4 linked regions of the Caenorhabditis elegans genome follow. The protein of the gene in region 2 interacts with the protein of the main gene of each other region in a pairwise test. Each region holds a gene or a part of one and is shown on either strand. Other genes may lie near its edges.

Region 1 (4,487 bases), on a different chromosome or scaffold from region 2:
AGTTTAACATTTCCTCACTCAACAGTGTTCAATATTTAAAAAAAATTTTGCAAGGAAAATTGGAAATATGCCAAAACTTCATCTGAAACAAAAGTTAAATGTTTAGTTTCTCTGTAAAAACGTAAAAATGACAAATATTGAAATAGTGAATTGAGACTTGAGAAGACTTTTAGATTTCAAAAAGATTTCAAGACTATTACACAAAAAAAAATCAGACAGAAACAAAAAACAAAAAAAAATTATTAAAAGATTGACACTGACATGTTTAAAAAGTCACAAAACATTTTCGAGTACGTAGTTACTCGAAAAAGAAAACTAAGATCTATATGACGTCATTTTGATCTGACACAGGTGACACATCTCATCCATCCCGTAGCTCTTCTCCCACAGAAACATTTTGTGGTGTGAAGTTACTAGATGCACACTTTACTACTTGAATGGAGGAGGTTAAATGATGAAAGAACAGAAGGATGCTCATTATGATTGTGATGTTTCAAATATTATAATTATTGTTTCACTTTTGCAAGTTCTATAAATTGATTGAAAAATTGACAAAACTCTGGATTCAGAAATTGCATTTTTCAAAATGTGTAAAATTTCAAAAATCGTGTTATAAATTTTAAAAAAGTCCAATGTTTCTGATAAAAAAATGTTTTAATTAGATGAAACACTGAAATTGTTCAGTTTTTGTCAGTGAACAAGAGAAATCACAGAAAAATTGTTCCGAAAGGGACTACTTTACTCCCTATTTGTCTTGAAATCTCTCAAAAATCAGTATCTTAGAAATTATAGTTAACCCACAAAAATACACTTTAAACCGTTCAAAATCTATTCATTATTTTTTCAAATAAGTTCAATATGTTATAGAACATCTTTGATATGAAGCATATAACAAACGTCATCATAAAACATCATATCACGTTCATAAAATCCTTTTCTTTGAGGAATTGTCTTGTTACAGATTGCACAACGGAAACAATCAATATGAAAGAGACGATTAAATGCAACAAGTCCTCGTTCAATTACTGGCAATGAGCATCCTGTAAAATTTGTTTTTTAAGTAATCGTAAGGGGCTCTAATCTTTCCTATATGTAGCTGAGTAATCAAAGTTCGTATAACCCGTGCAAAACCGAATTCACAAGCCATATCATTCAATTTTTAATTTCTACTAATCAGTACTTCGAAGAACTAAAAATACCTGTGCAAGATGGATGATTTGTTTGAATATGACATGCATAACATGATGGTTTCATTGGATCAATTGATGAACGGAAATAACGATTGTCCGAGATTTGAAGCTAAAATTGGATATTTTGAAATTTTGGAAGTGCTTTTTTCCGAACGCTTCCAAAACTAACTTTACAAAAAATGCATTGAATATGATCCCGATGCCACATTCGATTCAGAAAGAAGACAACTTTGTTCTAAAAATTACTTTTTTAAAGGAAATACACCAATTGTGGATTTACCTTTTCGACATCCTCCTCGGCGATTTTGGCTTTACATCCTGCACAATTGATAAACTCAATAGTCATTTTTCTAGTTTATTTGGAAATAAATTATTTTTTATTAAAATTGTATTCTTCGCCTCCGAATTTGTATTTAGTAAGCGGTTGCCACGTAACTGGTATTAAAATTTATTGGTTTTTAATTGAAAACTTCCAAACAAGATACAAAAGTTTATGCATCTCTGCATGGTAATCTCCAAAATACATAAAATATCACAGATTCCTTATTTCTAGGGCAAAATAAGCCATTATACTGAAGCCAAATAATACTGTCCGCCTTTCATGCCTTTCCCTCCCGAGACTCCATCTTTTTTTCCAATCAGATCCAATTTTCGGTGAACAAACAATAATTTGACATGCCTCTGTTGATTAACCGTGTTTTGTGAGCAATTCATTGGCTTTTCGTCGCACAAAAACAATGGGCATTAGGAGCATTTTTTGGAAAGTTGTATCTGGAAGAGGTGAGCACAGTTTGTCCCATTTTTTTTCTAATTTTAGCTGATTAAAAATAAAACCTCCAAAAATGAATTTCAGTGCCCGATAATGGTGGATGGGTTGACAGTATGCAAGTGGATCATTTTGATCCTTATACTCCAGGACAACTAACAAAAAACTTCACAGCAACTGTATAGTTTTCAGTTTTTCCAAATTACCCCAATTTCTAACCTCTCACTTTTAAGGTTGCTGACGAAATTAGTGTAACCCGTGGCACTACAGTTAAAGCAATTTATCGAGATGATCAATGGATTTATGTTGAGGTATCTGATGGAAGAAAAGGATTTGTTCCACAGACATATTGTAAATTGCTTTTGAATTCAAAACACGGTGAAAAGGTGAGCGTTTTAGATGTTCTAGAAAAGTTATTTTTAGTGCAAATCTTAAAGAATGCAACAACACGTGTAATTGTGGCATTTAATGATATTCATTTAAAACTACTGTATCCGGTCTCGACACGACCGAAATATGCGCAAAAGAATGTGCGCCTTGCGAATTACTGTAACCACACTCCTAATTATTTCCAATATTTCATAGATATTTCATAGTTTTGTCATTGAAAAATCGAAGAAAAGTGGTGAAAATCATTGTCACCTTTAGTGAGAACAACTTAGAAGCCACGTGATGTCAGAGAGTCCCATTTCGGTTTGATCTCCAAGAATTTCGGGAATGGAACCGTTGAGAAATCAAATCAAATACTTTTCAGAAAAAGGTGATCGGATCCAGCGCGACACTTGATCGCCGTTGGGAAAAATCAAATTTGCAGAGATTTATCGACAGTCTTCCTGTTCAAAAAGAAGAAGGAGAGGTTTTTAAAATGGTTTGTTTTGAATAAAGCTATTGAATATTCTTTTGATACTATCTGCAGGATGAGATATGCGAAGTTCAAATACTACAGTCATTTGATGGATCAGCTCCAGATGATATATCTGTGAAAGATGGAGAATCTGTCACAGTTTTGAATATATCAGATCCTGAGTGGACCTATATTCGAAATTCGGACAATCAATCTGGTTTTGTACCTTCTTCCCATGTTAAGATTCCACATGAAATATTGCAACAAGCTAGCCGTGTCATTAAAGAAAAATGGTATCGTAAGTTCGCAGTTTTCTGAAACGCTTAAAGGTGTACGGACTTATTCAGATGGGTCATGGGTGTTATTCTGTTTTTTTTTTCAGAATTAAAAGACTCAGAAGACGCGAAAATTTGTTATTTTTGCGCCAAAAATACAGTACCCGGTCTCGACACGATAACAATTTTGTTAAGTGTGAAAACGTGTGCGCCTTTAAAGACTACTGTAATGTAAATACAACTTTTCGTGCTCATAGTTTTTCTCACGATTAGTAAAATAAAATATATGTGTTTTGTGGTTTTTTAAAATAAATAAATACATTTTTTAACGGAGAATTATGAAAAATCTATGCAAATTCCTCAACAACGAAAGTTTGAAGCTACAGTACCCTTTAAAGGCGCACATCCGTTTACATTTGATAAAAAATATTGTCGTGTCGAGATTGAGTACCATATTTTTGGCGCAAAAATTGCAAAGTTTCGCGTATGGGTAATAAAAAATCAAAAGAATCGACTTTAAAATTGTTCACGAAATTCCCGAAAAAAGCAAAAGGGCCGTTGCAAGATAAAAAACTACTGCCATAAATGTTTTTCTCGTGCTTGCGTTTCAAAAGATTGCGAAATAAACTGATTATATTTTGGCTTGGCAAATTTATTTAATTTTTAGGGAAAATGAAAATCTTCTCGTAGTCGAACCTTTTTCTGGAAGATCACCTCTTGATCTAACAGTCCGACCAGGTGAATGGATAAAATGCACTGGAAGACCAGTAGATGATTGGTTGTGGGCCGTCCGAATCGCTGACGAGAAGCAGGGATTTATCCCGAATAAAGTTGTAATTTTGGCGACAGATCTTTGATGTTTGATTTATCGTTTGAATTTGTTTCATACCCGACCCATTAATAAAAATATTTTAAAAAAAGGTGAATTGGAAATGATAATAAATTTAGTGACTGAAGTGGGTAGTAAGAAATACAATCAAGAAACGAATAAATTATTGAAAATAAATAGGATTTAAGGTATTCGTGGGAATCATGAGAGGATAAAAACAGAAGGAGCACACATAACTGGTTATCAGAAAATACATTAAAAGAAAAAGAGATTCTTGTTTTCTGGATTGAACGGGGAGGCGAGATAGGGTAGGATAATTATGATAAAGTTATAAAAATTGCATAAAATTTTAACAAGAGATCCACTGATTTCATTGAGTTGGTCGGTCCATTACAAGACTACACGTACTCTTCAACAATTCATCGCGAAGTTTCCACAAAGCTTTTGTAACATCCTCTTCGCGAGCTACAGGTCGTCCGTTTTCAATTCTCTGAAATTATGAAATATATTTTACAAGAAGAAATAGTCGAACTAACCCTTATCCAATGAGATGGAGCGCGGGCATTTCCAGCTGGTTGGGTAT
Region 2 (4,998 bases):
CACCCCTACGGACCAATCGAAAATCAGTCATGCGGACTCTATTAGTCTTGCACCCCTACGGGTCAATTGAAAATTAGTCTTGCATTCAAGACTAATAGAGGAAATACGGTAATTGGGTACGATAGGAATACGGTAGGTTTATAAGTTATGTAAGTTTCTACAAATGTAACTACTTCAGTTTCTCTGTACCAAACTTTGAAGAATTTTTTATTACTTTAAAGATCACTGAAATAGTGAGCCGTTGTCTACGAGATCAAATATGTCCGAAAATTACCATTTGGTATCGGTCCTAACAAATCAGTATTTATACCAAAGTTGTTTCTTCGTCAATATTTTGAATTTAATTTAAAAACACATATATTATTCAATTTTCAATCTCACGTGAGAGAGTGTGAGAGAAAAAGAGGAATTTTGAAATAAATGAAATTGAGAGAGGCCGTGCTCCAAGGCTCCATCGATGTCGAATTTGCCATTGGACGTCATTCATAAAATTGTGGAAAAGGTTGAACCAATCGAACGGTATAATCAGAACTAGTTTTTGGAGGATTAATTAAATTGAAAATTTCAGGCTTTCTGTCCGTAAAGTCTGCCGCAACTTTCGTGCAATCGTCGATAATAAGGATCCTGGAATCAAGCGCGTTGTACTTAACATCCATCACTCTCAATTCCAGATGTGGCTGCTTGACGCAAAATCTACTGTAATTCACTATGATTTCAGTCATTCGCATTGCACAGTAAACTACAATGATCGGAATGAGCGCTTTAAAGGAGTGAACGGCTTGAAAATGGCTGAGACAGACTTGTCAGTGGTGATGAAGAACTCGAAACTTCAATTGGAAGTCCTTGAATTCCAAGGATATGATCGTATTCAAAAGAAGGAAACATTTATGAATTGGTTCAAAGAAATGTCCGATTCAAAAAACCTCTACAAGGTAAAAAGAATCGACTTTTCCATTAATCTTCCAACTTTTGCCGCAACAATTTTTCCGCTTCTTCAACCAGGATTTCTAGAAGAAATTTGCATTTACTGCAGCGGGAATCCAGATTACGTCGATCAATTATTTGAAATGGAGCAATGGAAAAGAGCCAAGTCGATTTTTATTGATTCATATGGAGAGAAGCATTTCCCAATTGAAAATCTCTTCCATCTTACCCACTTCTTCATTGATACGGCGTATCTTTCTGTCGCTGATGCTGTTAAAATCAGAGATGTTAGTTTTTTAATGTTCCTTCAAAAAAATTGTCATTTTTTCCAGATTCTCTTGAAATCGACTGTTTTTGAGTCTGGAATCATCACTTCTAGAAATATCTTCAGCGTTGGAGTTGTGCGAGTTTTCAATCCAAATTTCATTGCTAGAAGACCTTTTCGCGTTGACTATGACAATGGCTCTCACTTCAGCCTCTTATACGATCATATTTCTATCAAAATCGAAAAGAAGAAATAAATTAAACTGTTGTTCACTCGTGTGGTTCTCATTAAAATAAACTGTTTTGTTGAAATCTGTTTTTTTTCTTGTTAAATTACAATTTTGAGACATTTTTGTATTAAATTGCAAACCTTGTTGAAAAGTGGAGATTTTCCCGAAAATTTGCTGGAAATTGTGAGAAAAACTATAAGTGAAAAATTGAAATTTATTAGATTTTTTAACTAATTTGCATGGAAATGCATGGATAACCGGTGCAAATTATACAAAACCTCAAGTATTCACGATTTTCTTTTTTTGAGAAAATGATTTTTTGTTTCAATATAGATGAAAAATTGAATTTCAACCCGGAATATTGAGAGTTTCGACGATTTTCTCTCAAGTTTCACGATTTCTAACCAATTTTTGACTCTAAAATTCAGGAAATTTCATTAAAAATCAATAATTTTGAAAACATTTTAAATTAACTTCAATTTAAAAACCGGACTACGGTACACAACTCCGCAAACACCGCACGGCGTGTTCTGTCTACCGTAGTACGGCGCAATAAAAAAAAATAAATTTTTTTCCAATTTTCGAACTTTTCACCCAATTTTCGGCGCTTTTTTGCTGATTTTCGACGAAAAACTGAAGGAATTAACAAGCGCAATGGAAGGTTCGTGCTTTTTCAACTTGAAAAAGGTAAAATTCGAAAAAAAAAATACCTCTTAGGATTCAATTTTTCCATTAATTCCGCAATTTTTCCATCCTAAATTGATATTTCTCACAGAATTGTTTGATTTGTCTTATTTTCCGGCAAAATAATGTTTGAATTCGATAAAAATCGGAAAAATTCGGCTGAAAATGGTGGAATTTACGCCAAAATCCAGATTTTTCGACTTTTCAGCAAGTTTTTGGGTAAAACTACGCCGTTTTGACGAAAATTGCAAGAAAATTGACTTAAAATTTGACTGTATAATTTATGAGTTAAAATTTAAATTCTACTGGTTTTCCGGTAAAATTGCAGTTTTTATTGTTACAAAAGTTCTAAAAAACTGAATTTTGCCTTAAAAAACCCGTTTTTCTGGAATTTTTTGCTGAAAAAATTGAAAAATTGCTTTAAATCTCGTTTTTAAATCAATTTTTCTGTCAAAATCTAACGAAATCTCTCAAATTTTCGATTGGTCTGCTAGCGTTTTTTGTAGTTTGTAGTCTAGCAGATTAAATTTCTGAGATTGGGTCTGCCAGACTACAAATTACAAAATGTATTTAGCAGACCCATCACTTTTTCGACTAAATTTTGCGTTTTCAGGTGAAATTAAGCAGATTTAAAGGAAAAAACTCAGTTTTTCACAGAAAACCGACAAAAAATATGAATTTTTCGTATTTTCAGAGTTTTTTCGGCGAAAATTGTGATTTTATGCATAATTCTCTGTGAAAATTGATTTTTTAAGTCAATTTTCGTGAATTTTCACATTAAAATGTCGAGAAAATGCACATTTTGAGATATTTCCCGCAAAAAAATCAGGAAAAAATGCTCAAAATTGGCGATTTTTACCAAGTTTTATGGTCTGCCAGACTACAAACTACACAAAATGTATTTAGCAGACCCAAAAAAAAACATTTTTCGCGAATTTTTTTGATTTTTTTCTTGCATTTTTGATCAATTAGCATTAAAATTCACTAATTTTCCTCCCCAATTCCAGAAAAACCGGTTTTTCTGGAATTTTTTGCTGAAAAAATTAAAAAATTACTTTAAATCTCGTTTTTAAATCAATTTTTCTGTCAAAATCTAACGAAATCTCTCAAATTTTCGATTGGTCTGCTAGCGTTTTTTGTAGTTTGTAGTCTAGCAGACCCGAGTGGGTCTGCTAGACTACAAACTACAAAACGTATTTGGCAGACCCATAGTTTTTTCGACTAAATGTTGCGTTTTCATGTGAAAATACGCAGATTTAGACGGAAAAAACTCGGTTTCCCATAGAAAAATATGAATTTTTCGTTTTCTTAGACGGTTTTTTGGCGAAAATTGTGATTTTACTCATATTTCTCTGTAAAAATCGATTTTTGAGTCAATTTTCGTGAATTTTCATATTCAAATTGCGAGAAAATTCAAAATTTGAATTTTTCCAGCGAAAAAATCAGGAAAACTGCCCAAAATCACAGCGAAATTGACGATTTTTACCTAGTTTTATGGTCTGCCAGACTACAAACTACACAAAATGTATTTAGCAGACCCAAAAAAAAAATTTTCGCGAATTTTTTTTATTTTTTCTTGTATTTTTGACCAATTAGCATTAAAATTCACTAATTTTCCTCCCCAATTCCAGAAAAGCCGGTTTTTCTGGAATTTTTTGAAAAAAATTTGAAAAATTGCTTTAAACCTCGTTTTTAAATCATTTTCCTCTCAAAATCTGACGAAAATCTCTCAATTTTTCGATTGGTATGCTAGCGTTTTTTGTAGTTTGTAGTCTAGCAGACCAAATTTCTGAGAGTAGGTCTGCTAGACTACAAACTACAAAATGTATTTAGCAGACCCATATTTTTTTCGACGAAATTTTGCGTTTTAGGTGAATATAAGCAGATTTAGACGGAAAAAACTCGGTTTCCCATAGAAAAATATGCATTTTTTTTAAACGGTTTTTTGGCGAAAAATTGTGATTTTATGCGTAATTCTGTGTGAAAATTGATTTTTTAAGGCAATAATCGTTAATTTTTCCTGAAAAATTCCGCGAAAATGCAAGATTTGAATTTTTTTCCCGCGAAAAAATCAGAAATCTGCTCAAAATAACAGCAAAATTGACGATTTTTACCAAGTTTTATGGTCTGCCAGACTACAAACTACAAAAATTGTATTTAGCAGACCCAAAATCCATTTTTTTTTCGCGAATTTTTGGATTTTTTCATGCATTTTTTATTAATCAGCATTAAAATTCGCTAATTTTCTCCCACATTTAGGAAAAAATCGATTTTTTTTTGCCAAATTGCCCCGCTCTCGCCGTTCTTTTTGGCCATCTGCTCTCCGAATAACACTTGGCATGCTGCCAAGTGTCCCACCAACAAATCCCATCGATTTTCGATGTTGGCGAGGGACAAAAAGTGACGACGATTAGAGAGCATTGAGAGCTGAGAGAGACGAGAGAAAACATGGAACCTCTCGTTGTCTGCCGTCTCTTCATCTCATCATTGTGTCCGTCAACTGACTCATTTCTTCGTATTTACGCGCTCTTTTTTCGAAGGAGGACGCGTTCCGTTTTTTTTTTTGGTTTCGTACAAATTTTTGGTTTTTTACGCGATTTTCTCGAAATTGCGTGTGAAAATTTGCAAAAAATTCGATTTTTCGTTTCAAAATCGAGCTTTCCTTCTAAATTATCAAATATAATCGTAAAATCGGTTTTTCTCTACGATTTTTCTTCAAAAGCTGAATTTTTTGCTGAAAAGTGGGTTGAAAATCACGAAAATTGCAAATTTTAACGCTGATCAATAAAAAATGCAAGAAAAATGGATTCTGGGTCTGCTAAATACATTTTGTGTAGTATGTAGTCTGGCAGACCATAAAACTTGGTAAAAATCGCCAGTTTTGCTGTAATTTTGA
Region 3 (4,888 bases), on a different chromosome or scaffold from region 2:
GCATTCATTGTGTTTCATAATCTTAAAATTTTGGTGTCTCATTGTCGGCTAACTAACCTTGGTGGCATTGGTGGTGGGCCTCTTGCAATGGGTTTTCGCACATTCTGCATATCAGCTTCTGCCATAACTGCCATAATTTTCATTCTTTCATCATCTGACAAATCATCGAGTCCAGGTGGTAATTCGGACATTATACTTGAACTCATAACACTGGGAGATCTTGTTGGAATTTGACTTGAAGGAGGAGGGAAACGTGCGCCCATCTCCATTTCTGCATTTGCCATAACTGACATGATCTTTTCTCTTTCTGCTTCCGAAAGATCCTCCATTCCTGCTGGAATATTTGATGAACCACTTGTGCTTGGTTTTACATTATTAACAGAATCGTCAAAGTCGGCTGCAGCCATAACTGACATGATTTGTCGACGTTCTTCTTCGGAAAGACCATCCATCGGAATACCGATTTGTGGAGAGCTGTAATTTCAAAATTAACCATTTAGGAAATGAAAATCAAAAGAAAAAAGAAGAGGGGAGGTAGAAAAGTGTACGTGCGGGGAGTAATCTGATATACTGGGAATGTTTTATGTTACTTACGGAATAGATTTGGTTGGAGCACTGGTGCCTAGGGAGGTTGAGGATTTGCTGAAATTGTTTTTTTTATAGTTGACTTGACAAAATATCAATTACCTGCTAGAGAAGACATTGTTGTTGACAATATTTGATGATGAAGAGGATGGCTGAAAAGTTTTTATTATTTTGAGGTTATTTAATTTATTTCAAAAAAATTAATTTACAGAAGTAATGTTTAAAAACATTAGCCGTTTTGTGAATTAGTTAATTGTTTGTTTATAATATTAATACCAAAAGCAGTTTCTCAAAAAAAAGTAATCAATCAAGTGAAAAACTCGTGAGCGTTTAGTCATGAGATCTAGATCAAAATCGTGTTACCATAATTGAATTGGGTCGGAAGCCCTACGGAAAGAGAATAAAAAGAAAAAAGTTCACTCACCTTGATGGGTACGGCGGCTTGGATTTGCGAACCCGCTTCCTTTGCCTGCAAAAAGAGCAATTATCGAAAGTGACAAGGAGAGAAGAGCACACGCATGTCTTCTCGCAAAAAATTAATGAGGCATGGGGGTCCCCCGAGCCGAATCCTAAAGTGTTTCTTTTTGTTGCACACCCTACATTTATGCATAAGCGACACATACAACAAAACATAAAAAAGTGGAAAATAGACCAAAACGATGGGTACATCTTTTGGAATGGTGTATGTGTGACCGCTAAAAAAAAAAAAGAAAAAAGGAAGAACAAATGATTGTATAGTGTTTGTTGGATGAGGGAACAACACATTTGCGTTATTTTGGAAAGACCGGAAAGTCGAATTCCGTGAGTAACGAGCCCATCGTAGCTGCTCTTGGAGAGTCAAAGACACTGCGAAATTGGTTTTGTATACTGACATTGAAATGGTTTTTTTTTTTTGAAAATGAATTCATGTAATATATAAATTTGTGTGTATAAAAAACTACTCATATTCTCAAAATGTTGCATGTAAAAGTTAGTTATTTTTAAGAAAAAATGCTGATTGAAGAGTTTCTTAGATGTTAACATAATTTCTATGTTTTTTTTCTAGAAAACAGTAAATTTGAATATAACAGAAAAAAACAAATTGTTGCAACATAATATGTTCTACATTATTGGAAAATCATTTCAAATATCCATACCAAATATCATAATAAAACCTGTCAAACAATTTTGGACAATTATTTATTTTCAGTCAAACAGCTCTAAAAAAAATAACAATTTCTATAGTGACTGAAAATATTTTGAATAGCTTCGCGCATTTACAGTTTCAAAAACGTAGTCTTTTGAGTTTTAGTTTTTTGTTCATGGTCTTTTTTCAAACGGTGAAGTCTGATAGGTCATAGTGAATATTCAATTACTTACCTTATTAATAGCATCATTTGCAATATTAGAAAGGAAGCCGAAATTGGGTCGCTTCAACATACGACTACCCGGCAGTGAATCGATGGGTGTCTGCTGCGCCCTCAACGACTCTTCTCTCTGCGTCTCAAATCCATCATCAAAAGCCTCACGACTACTACTCTTCGTCTTCTCCTCCTCTTCGTAGTTCTCCAGTTTTTGCTGCTCCACGGCGTCGTCACCATATTTTCTCTTTTCCCCTTCACCAATCGATCTTCCGGTGCCAAAGAAGGCAGAAGAAGTGGTGGGCTCATGGTGTTGGCTCTCTACGTCAATACCTGCAAATATATGTTTTTTTGCTTTGAGATTTGGTCTCTTCGTCTCGCTTTTTGATTTGTGCTATGAATTTTTCATTTTTGACAGAAAACTCACCTTCAAGGAAGTGAAGTTGATCCTCAACATACTCCAATGGGAACTCTTCAACGTCAGTTCGAATTTCATCTGAAATTTCAAAAATAAAAAAGTAAATAGAGAAGAAAAATGTAATATTTGTATTACATAGGTCTAATGAAATTATATTCAGTCATTTCTTTTATTTGGACGTTTTTCTGAGTCAAAAACAGAGTGGATAGTGGAAAATTTTGAAAGTTCAGATAAAAGTCTGCTGATTGCAATTAGAATTGTTTTTTGTAGAATTAAGAATTAATTAAACACTCTTGTAAAATATTTTTGATAACATTTTATCTAGCTTTTGCTTTCTTTGCTGTAGAAATTCTCTTGTCGAGTAGAATTTGTTTTAGCAAATTATACTAGGTAGGTGAGTAGGCCTCTGTGTACCTACACTGAAGCGCATAAAAGTTTTTTTTTTAAACCACTTACGCCCCACATCTTCTTCCTCATCGTGGATCGATTGTCGCATGAAACTGAGTTGCTCCTCATACCTGAACAAAATAGTAAAATTGAAACACTAATTTTCAAAAAGAAAAAAAAAGGTTTATTAAAAATTCAGCATACCACTTTCCGATATCCGACTCGGACTCTTGCCTAATCTCTGATATACTTCTAATGTCGTATTCACTACTCTTCCGTGACGCCATCGAATCTGCTGATGGCGTCGGAGACACAGTCTGAAAATCATAAAATCCTGTTGGATAGTAGTGTTTAGTAGTCAAAAAAGGGGAAAAGTTGAAAATCTGGGAGTTGTCACGCTATCTGCATAATATTTAATGACACCGTTGCATTGCCACGGCATGCATAGCAACATGGTGAATGTGAAAAAAAAGTATTTATGGCTGGGAAAATAGAAACAGCTCGCACACAAAAAACAACGTCTATTTCTCACCTTCTGAGCCATAATAGGACCCTGGGGCTCTTCAGTTGTGTCAAGTGCAGCAGGAGATGTAACTCGATCTGGAGAGAAGCCGCTCGTTAGCACTTGAGCATTGTTGTTATCGAAGGAGCCGCTGGCGCCTGAACTTGCATCTTCTTGTTCATCGAATATATCAGCACCTGATGTTGCATCTGATCCACTTTCTGTTATTGGTTCTTCTTCTTCATCTTGAACTGGTTCAGCAGTGAATGGAGTGTTATAATCCATATCAGCCATCTCAGCAATTCTTGCAATATGGTCAAGCTCTTCTTGAGTGAGATCTTGCTCAAAGTGTTTAGAAGGAGGAGGAGGAGGTGGAGTCAACGAAACCTTATGAGTAATCGATCTTTGGGTGGCAGGAAGTTGGACATCTTGTGCAGCCATTGCAGTAATCTTTGCTATATGATCAAGTTCCTCTTGAGTTAGTTCTGGTGGTTCGAATATTTTTACAGGAACATCATATTCTGCTGATGCCATTTCAGCTATGCGAGCAATATGATCAAGTTCTTCCTGAGTAAGTGATGTCTCGGATGGTTTTCCTGTTGGAGGTGGTAGAGTACTGATGTCCATAGATGCCATTCCTGTGATCTTAGCGATATGATCAAGTTCTTCTTGAGTAAGTTCAGATTCAACTGGAGCAGGATGTTCAGAAACAATTGAAGGATACATTCCAAAGTCTTCATTTGCCATTGCAGCTATTCGAGTAATGTGATCTATTTCTTCTTGGGAGAGCTCCGGTTCATTTTGTTTAACTTGAGGAGTTGGTAGAGTTTGTAGATCAGTGTTATCTTCAGTAGCCATAGCTGTTATTCTTGCAATGTGATCAATTTCTTCTTGCGATAGAGTTGGTTCTTCAACATGATAATTAATTGGCACTGGCATTGTCGCAACTCGTTGCTCTTGTTGGATAAAGGGAGATGGCGCATTTAAATCTTCGGAAGCCATCGCCTCGATCCTTGCAATATGTTCTTTTTCTTCTTCCGTTAGTTCTATTTCAATTTGCTGTGTTGGATGTGTTGAAACGTATGGTGTATTAAAATCTTCTTCAGCCATTGCAGCGATTCTGGAAATATGTTCACGCTCTTCTTCAGAAAGTTCAATTTCAGACGGCTGCGCAAACACTGGAGTAGCTGTCGAAGCTGGGAATCTATCAATTGCACCATCGTCCCTACTATAATTTTCATCATAAATTGGCGCGACAGCTCCTTTAACAGGATGTGTAAAGTCCTCGTCAGCCATTGCAGCTATTCGAGCAATGTGATCCATTTCTTCCATTGAAAGTTCAATATCTTTTTGGATAATTGAAGGAGGAGGAACAATGATTTTAGATTGTGAATCATCCGCTGCCATAGCCTCAATACGAGCGATATGATCTTTCTCTGCTTGTGACAATCCTTGATTCATATTAACTGCGGGTTGTTCAAAGTCTTCCGCTGCCATAGCATTAATTCTGGCAATGTGATCTATTTCATCTTGTGTGAGCTCTTGCTTAGATTCTTGCTGAGCACTTTCAGTAGCCTGTGCAATGTTATCTAGCTCTTCTTGGGTTAGACCACTAAGAGATTGCTTTGATTGATTTTGAACGTTCTTTATCACAGA
Region 4 (3,332 bases), on a different chromosome or scaffold from region 2:
TTCAATTGATAATATTTCAAGCAAAAATCTATGTAAAACAGCTCTTGGGGCTATTTTAAATGTTAAATAATTAAATAAATAGTCCAAAAATCCAGTGAAAACTGTAAAATTTTGCAAAAATCAGTTTTCCGCGTGTATTACACCGAAAATCAAAGGACTTCGCACGATTGGAAAGGCTTAAAATCAGAGGATTCCGCTGGAATTTTCCAGAAGAACGTACTCTGCTCTCATTCGGATCGATGGTGCAGAACGGGAAGTTTTCAGCCTGTGCTTCGGATTTGGTGAGCACATTGAAGAATGTCGACTTTCCAACGTTCGGAAGACCCAGAATTCCGACTTTAAGGTTGGTACCAAGACGTCCGATCAACGCGGGCTTCTCCTCGACGACGTTCTTCTTTGGAGGCATCTTTTTGATGGTTCCCTGACGACTTTTAAGTGTTTTACAATAAAAAAAAGATGAGAATTTAGAAGATAGAGAATTCTGGGTTTAAAACCATTGAGCTATCAAAAACCTAGCCTACTGAATCTCTCAAAATTCAAAAAGTTTATTCCAGATTCTGAACAGCTTACGAAGATTGGTGGGTGATGGGAAGATCTCGATCACCCGAGAGAGTATCGATAAATTAAATATATAATTAAAGGTATTTCTACCACAAAAAATGAAAAGAACAGAGAAAAATACAAGATCGGTGGGAAAAATGATAGAAACATGCGGATTTGGATAGCAAAATTTTAGAATGGACGTCCTCCTGGTGGGCCGCCATATCCTGGCTGCATGGCTGCCATTCCTGGTCCTCCGTGTCCGCGCATGGCTCCAGAGAGGCCTCCTGGTGCTCCGCCTGGTGGCATTCCCGGCATTCCTGGCATAGCTGGCATTCCACGGCCTCCTGGCTTGGCTTGTCCGACACCTCCAGCTCCTCCGGCCTTGGCGAGTCTCACTGAATCGTCATCTCTTGGTGGTGGTCCGTCGACGGTCATCGAGACGATATGTTCTCCGCGGACCAGTACGAGGCCGAGAATTCGCTTTTCTTCTCCATCGGTCTGAAAATAAAATGGTTTTTGTCTTCAATCAACGCTGCAGAAACAGAAAACAATACCTTCTTTCCGGCCTTTGGCTTGATTTGTCTGTGTTCCTCGCACTCTGCGAGTAAAATGTTCATATGCTTGTCGAAAGCCTTGAAAAATCCGATGAAGGTTCTACCGTCCTGAAGGATGATCTTCATCCTGTAGTTGAGATGAGCCATCATCTTATTATTCTTGGAGATAGTCTGAAAAGAAAATATTTTGTATTTATCTCCATGAGAACTGTAGAAAAACTTACCATCTTGAGGCGTTGGTTGTGATTTTTTGTCTAGGACCTGGAAATAAGAATATTGAAGTTTTACTCTTTCAAAATGAAAGAAATTAAAGAGTTCTGATGATACAAGAGATGAAACAAACGAATATTTCTGCAAAACAACTTCTAAAAGTCACAAGAACCGTTTGAAAACCGATCGTTTGAAATTACATAAATACCGGCGAGAAATCAAGGTTTTGAAATTGATTGAAATTTTAAGCGATGAAGAACCTTTAAATTCACTAATTTTTCAATTTTTTCGAAAGAAAATCTTAAAAATCAACTGAAAACCGACAAAACAAGCTGAAAATCAGCCAAAACTGCTGGAGAATAATTCGAAAATCTAGAGACGCCGCAACGAGACCCATTCGTATAAATGCGTGCGCCTTTAAATCGATTTGCGCGGCAGTTCAAATAAAAAAGGCGTGACCCCACGGAAAGCAGAAATTGGGGAAGAGAAGGTGAGGGGAGGGGTATAAAAAATGCAAAAATCGATTATTTCGAATATTAGTCCAATCGAAGAGTGGTGAATGGAGCAGTCTAACGGTCATAAGTTGTATGTCGTGTTGGATCAAGTGAGAATTTTCGAAAATTTCTTGAATTATCCGGTAATTTTATTCAGACATTCGTGTGTTTCGATATTGATCAACCAAAAAATGCGTGTCAAAAGTTGAAATTGAATAGTTTAGCTGGTGTTGGACCAATTTATTGGAGATTTCTGGTATTTAAGCTCAGGTGTGAGCAGCCTCTGGAATATCTGAATTTTTTCAAGACAAATGCTCCAACTCGATATTTCATAACCCCAAATCAGGCTGTTTTGCGTGACGATGAGCCGATTGAAGTGTGTATCACACTTTATCAGAACAAGTTCCGACCGAGACATGAAATCGTGCTTCAAGCTGCATCAATTCCAGAATGTGGAGATTTCGACCCGAAAGTTGGTTTTATTTTCGTACAATAATTGAATATCATATAAAAAAAATAAAGTAAAACTTTTCGAAAACCTTCAGAAAAGATGATATTTCAAGTTGAAAACCGAAAAGCTGTCAGTTTTCGCTAAATTCCGATTTGAATTTCCGCGTTTTTTGTGAGAGCGTTGTTCGATGGAGCGCGCTTGCATTTGACAAAAACGCGCAAATTCAAATTGCAATTAAGCAAAAAAACTGAAAGATTCTCGATTTTCAGCTGAATTTCAGCTTGAATTAAAAACTTTACAAAAAAAAAGAAAGTAATTTTTCCCTACAGAAACTCTTCGATTCTCCGGAAAATGTCCAATCCATCTCCCTGGATCTCGGCACAACCATCATGAAAATCGAGTCGGCAGTGGAGATTTCAAAGACGGCAACCGATTTTCATACGGCTCTCGACGCGTCTTCAGTGATTGGTTCGGATCGTGTGGATCAGCTTAAGTGTAATAGAGCGCGTTTGCTTCGTTTTTTTTAATTTTAAATTTGCGAAAATTTCAGCGATTCTAAACCTGACGAAAAGTGACACAGCACTGCTTGAATCTAATATAACTCAGGCAAAACAGCTGAAAATCACTTTGGATGCACAATTGCAACAAAGGTAGTTTTGAATTTTTTCCGGGTCTCGCCACGATCGCGTGCGCCTTTAATGGTGTATCAAAATTTAAAAAAAAAACGGATTAAAAACTACAGTACCCCTTATAGGCGCACACTCTTTACATAAAAGTTTTGATCGTGTCGAGACCCGATACAACTCAAATTTCAGAAAAGCTCTGGTCGATGAGTACAAGTCGAAACTGACAGTGCTGGAAGGAAGTTACATGCGCAAAAGTGCAGAGGTACTGAGATTTTTTATTTTGAAAAATTTAAAAAAAAACTTGAATTTCAGGTTCAACGTCTCCAAAACGAGCTTCAAAATGCTCAGAAGGCTCATGCAATGAAAGCCACCACTGCTCCAAATGAGAAAAATCAAGCAAATTGCTCAATTTCTTGAATAAAACGAATAAACTTTCAAATTGAAACATCCCGCC

The links.
Region 1: the proteins of nova-1 (region 2) and C26C6.8 interact in a two-hybrid assay, tested with the Caenorhabditis elegans proteins (one large-scale study listed by BioGRID).
Region 3: the proteins of nova-1 (region 2) and cla-1 interact in a two-hybrid assay, tested with the Caenorhabditis elegans proteins (one large-scale study listed by BioGRID).
Region 4: the proteins of nova-1 (region 2) and snr-2 interact in a two-hybrid assay, tested with the Caenorhabditis elegans proteins (one large-scale study listed by BioGRID).

Annotation. Positions count from the first base shown.
Region 1 is NC_003279.8:7,503,021-7,507,507, reverse strand, and holds C26C6.8 (SH3 domain-containing protein), read left to right. Parts: upstream 1-1,865; 5' UTR 1,866-1,927; coding exon 1,928-1,970; intron 1,971-2,043; coding exon 2,044-2,135; intron 2,136-2,189; coding exon 2,190-2,342; intron 2,343-2,710; coding exon 2,711-2,824; intron 2,825-2,872; coding exon 2,873-3,093; intron 3,094-3,742; coding exon 3,743-3,932; 3' UTR 3,933-3,985; downstream 3,986-4,487. Other genes in the region: C26C6.6 (LIM zinc-binding domain-containing protein), read right to left, coding at 862-1,040, 1,200-1,299, 1,360-1,425, 1,471-1,536; pbrm-1 (Bromo domain-containing protein), read right to left, coding at 4,275-4,394, 4,441-4,487.
Region 2 is NC_003283.11:18,078,905-18,083,902, reverse strand, and holds the start of nova-1 (K Homology domain-containing protein), read left to right. Parts: upstream 1-1,996; 5' UTR 1,997-2,072; coding exon 2,073-2,079; intron 2,080-3,862; exon of another isoform or gene 3,863-3,947; intron 3,948-4,998. Other genes in the region: fbxa-106 (F-box domain-containing protein), read left to right, coding at 432-519, 569-1,211, 1,257-1,445.
Region 3 is NC_003282.8:7,608,809-7,613,696, reverse strand, and holds the start of cla-1 (Protein clarinet), read right to left. Parts: upstream 3,018-4,888; coding exon 2,935-3,017; intron 2,862-2,934; coding exon 2,800-2,861; intron 2,422-2,799; coding exon 2,353-2,421; intron 2,259-2,352; coding exon 1,945-2,258; intron 1,055-1,944; coding exon 1,010-1,054; intron 738-1,009; coding exon 688-737; intron 643-687; coding exon 595-642; intron 475-594; coding exon 58-474; intron 1-57. UniProt on the Caenorhabditis elegans protein: Required for synapse development in the active zone of presynaptic terminals of specific neurons including serotonergic NSM neurons.
Region 4 is NC_003279.8:13,337,423-13,340,754, reverse strand, and holds snr-2 (putative small nuclear ribonucleoprotein-associated protein B), read right to left. Parts: upstream 1,359-3,332; 5' UTR 1,325-1,358; coding exon 1,322-1,324; intron 1,269-1,321; coding exon 1,098-1,268; intron 1,042-1,097; coding exon 733-1,041; 3' UTR 531-732; downstream 1-530. Other genes in the region: ola-1 (Obg-like ATPase 1), read right to left, coding at 221-406; W08E3.4 (Major sperm protein), read left to right, coding at 1,867-1,911, 1,959-2,273, 2,582-2,747, 2,803-2,902, 3,068-3,140, 3,191-3,295. UniProt on the Caenorhabditis elegans protein: Plays a role in pre-mRNA splicing as a core component of the spliceosomal U1, U2, U4 and U5 small nuclear ribonucleoproteins (snRNPs), the building blocks of the spliceosome.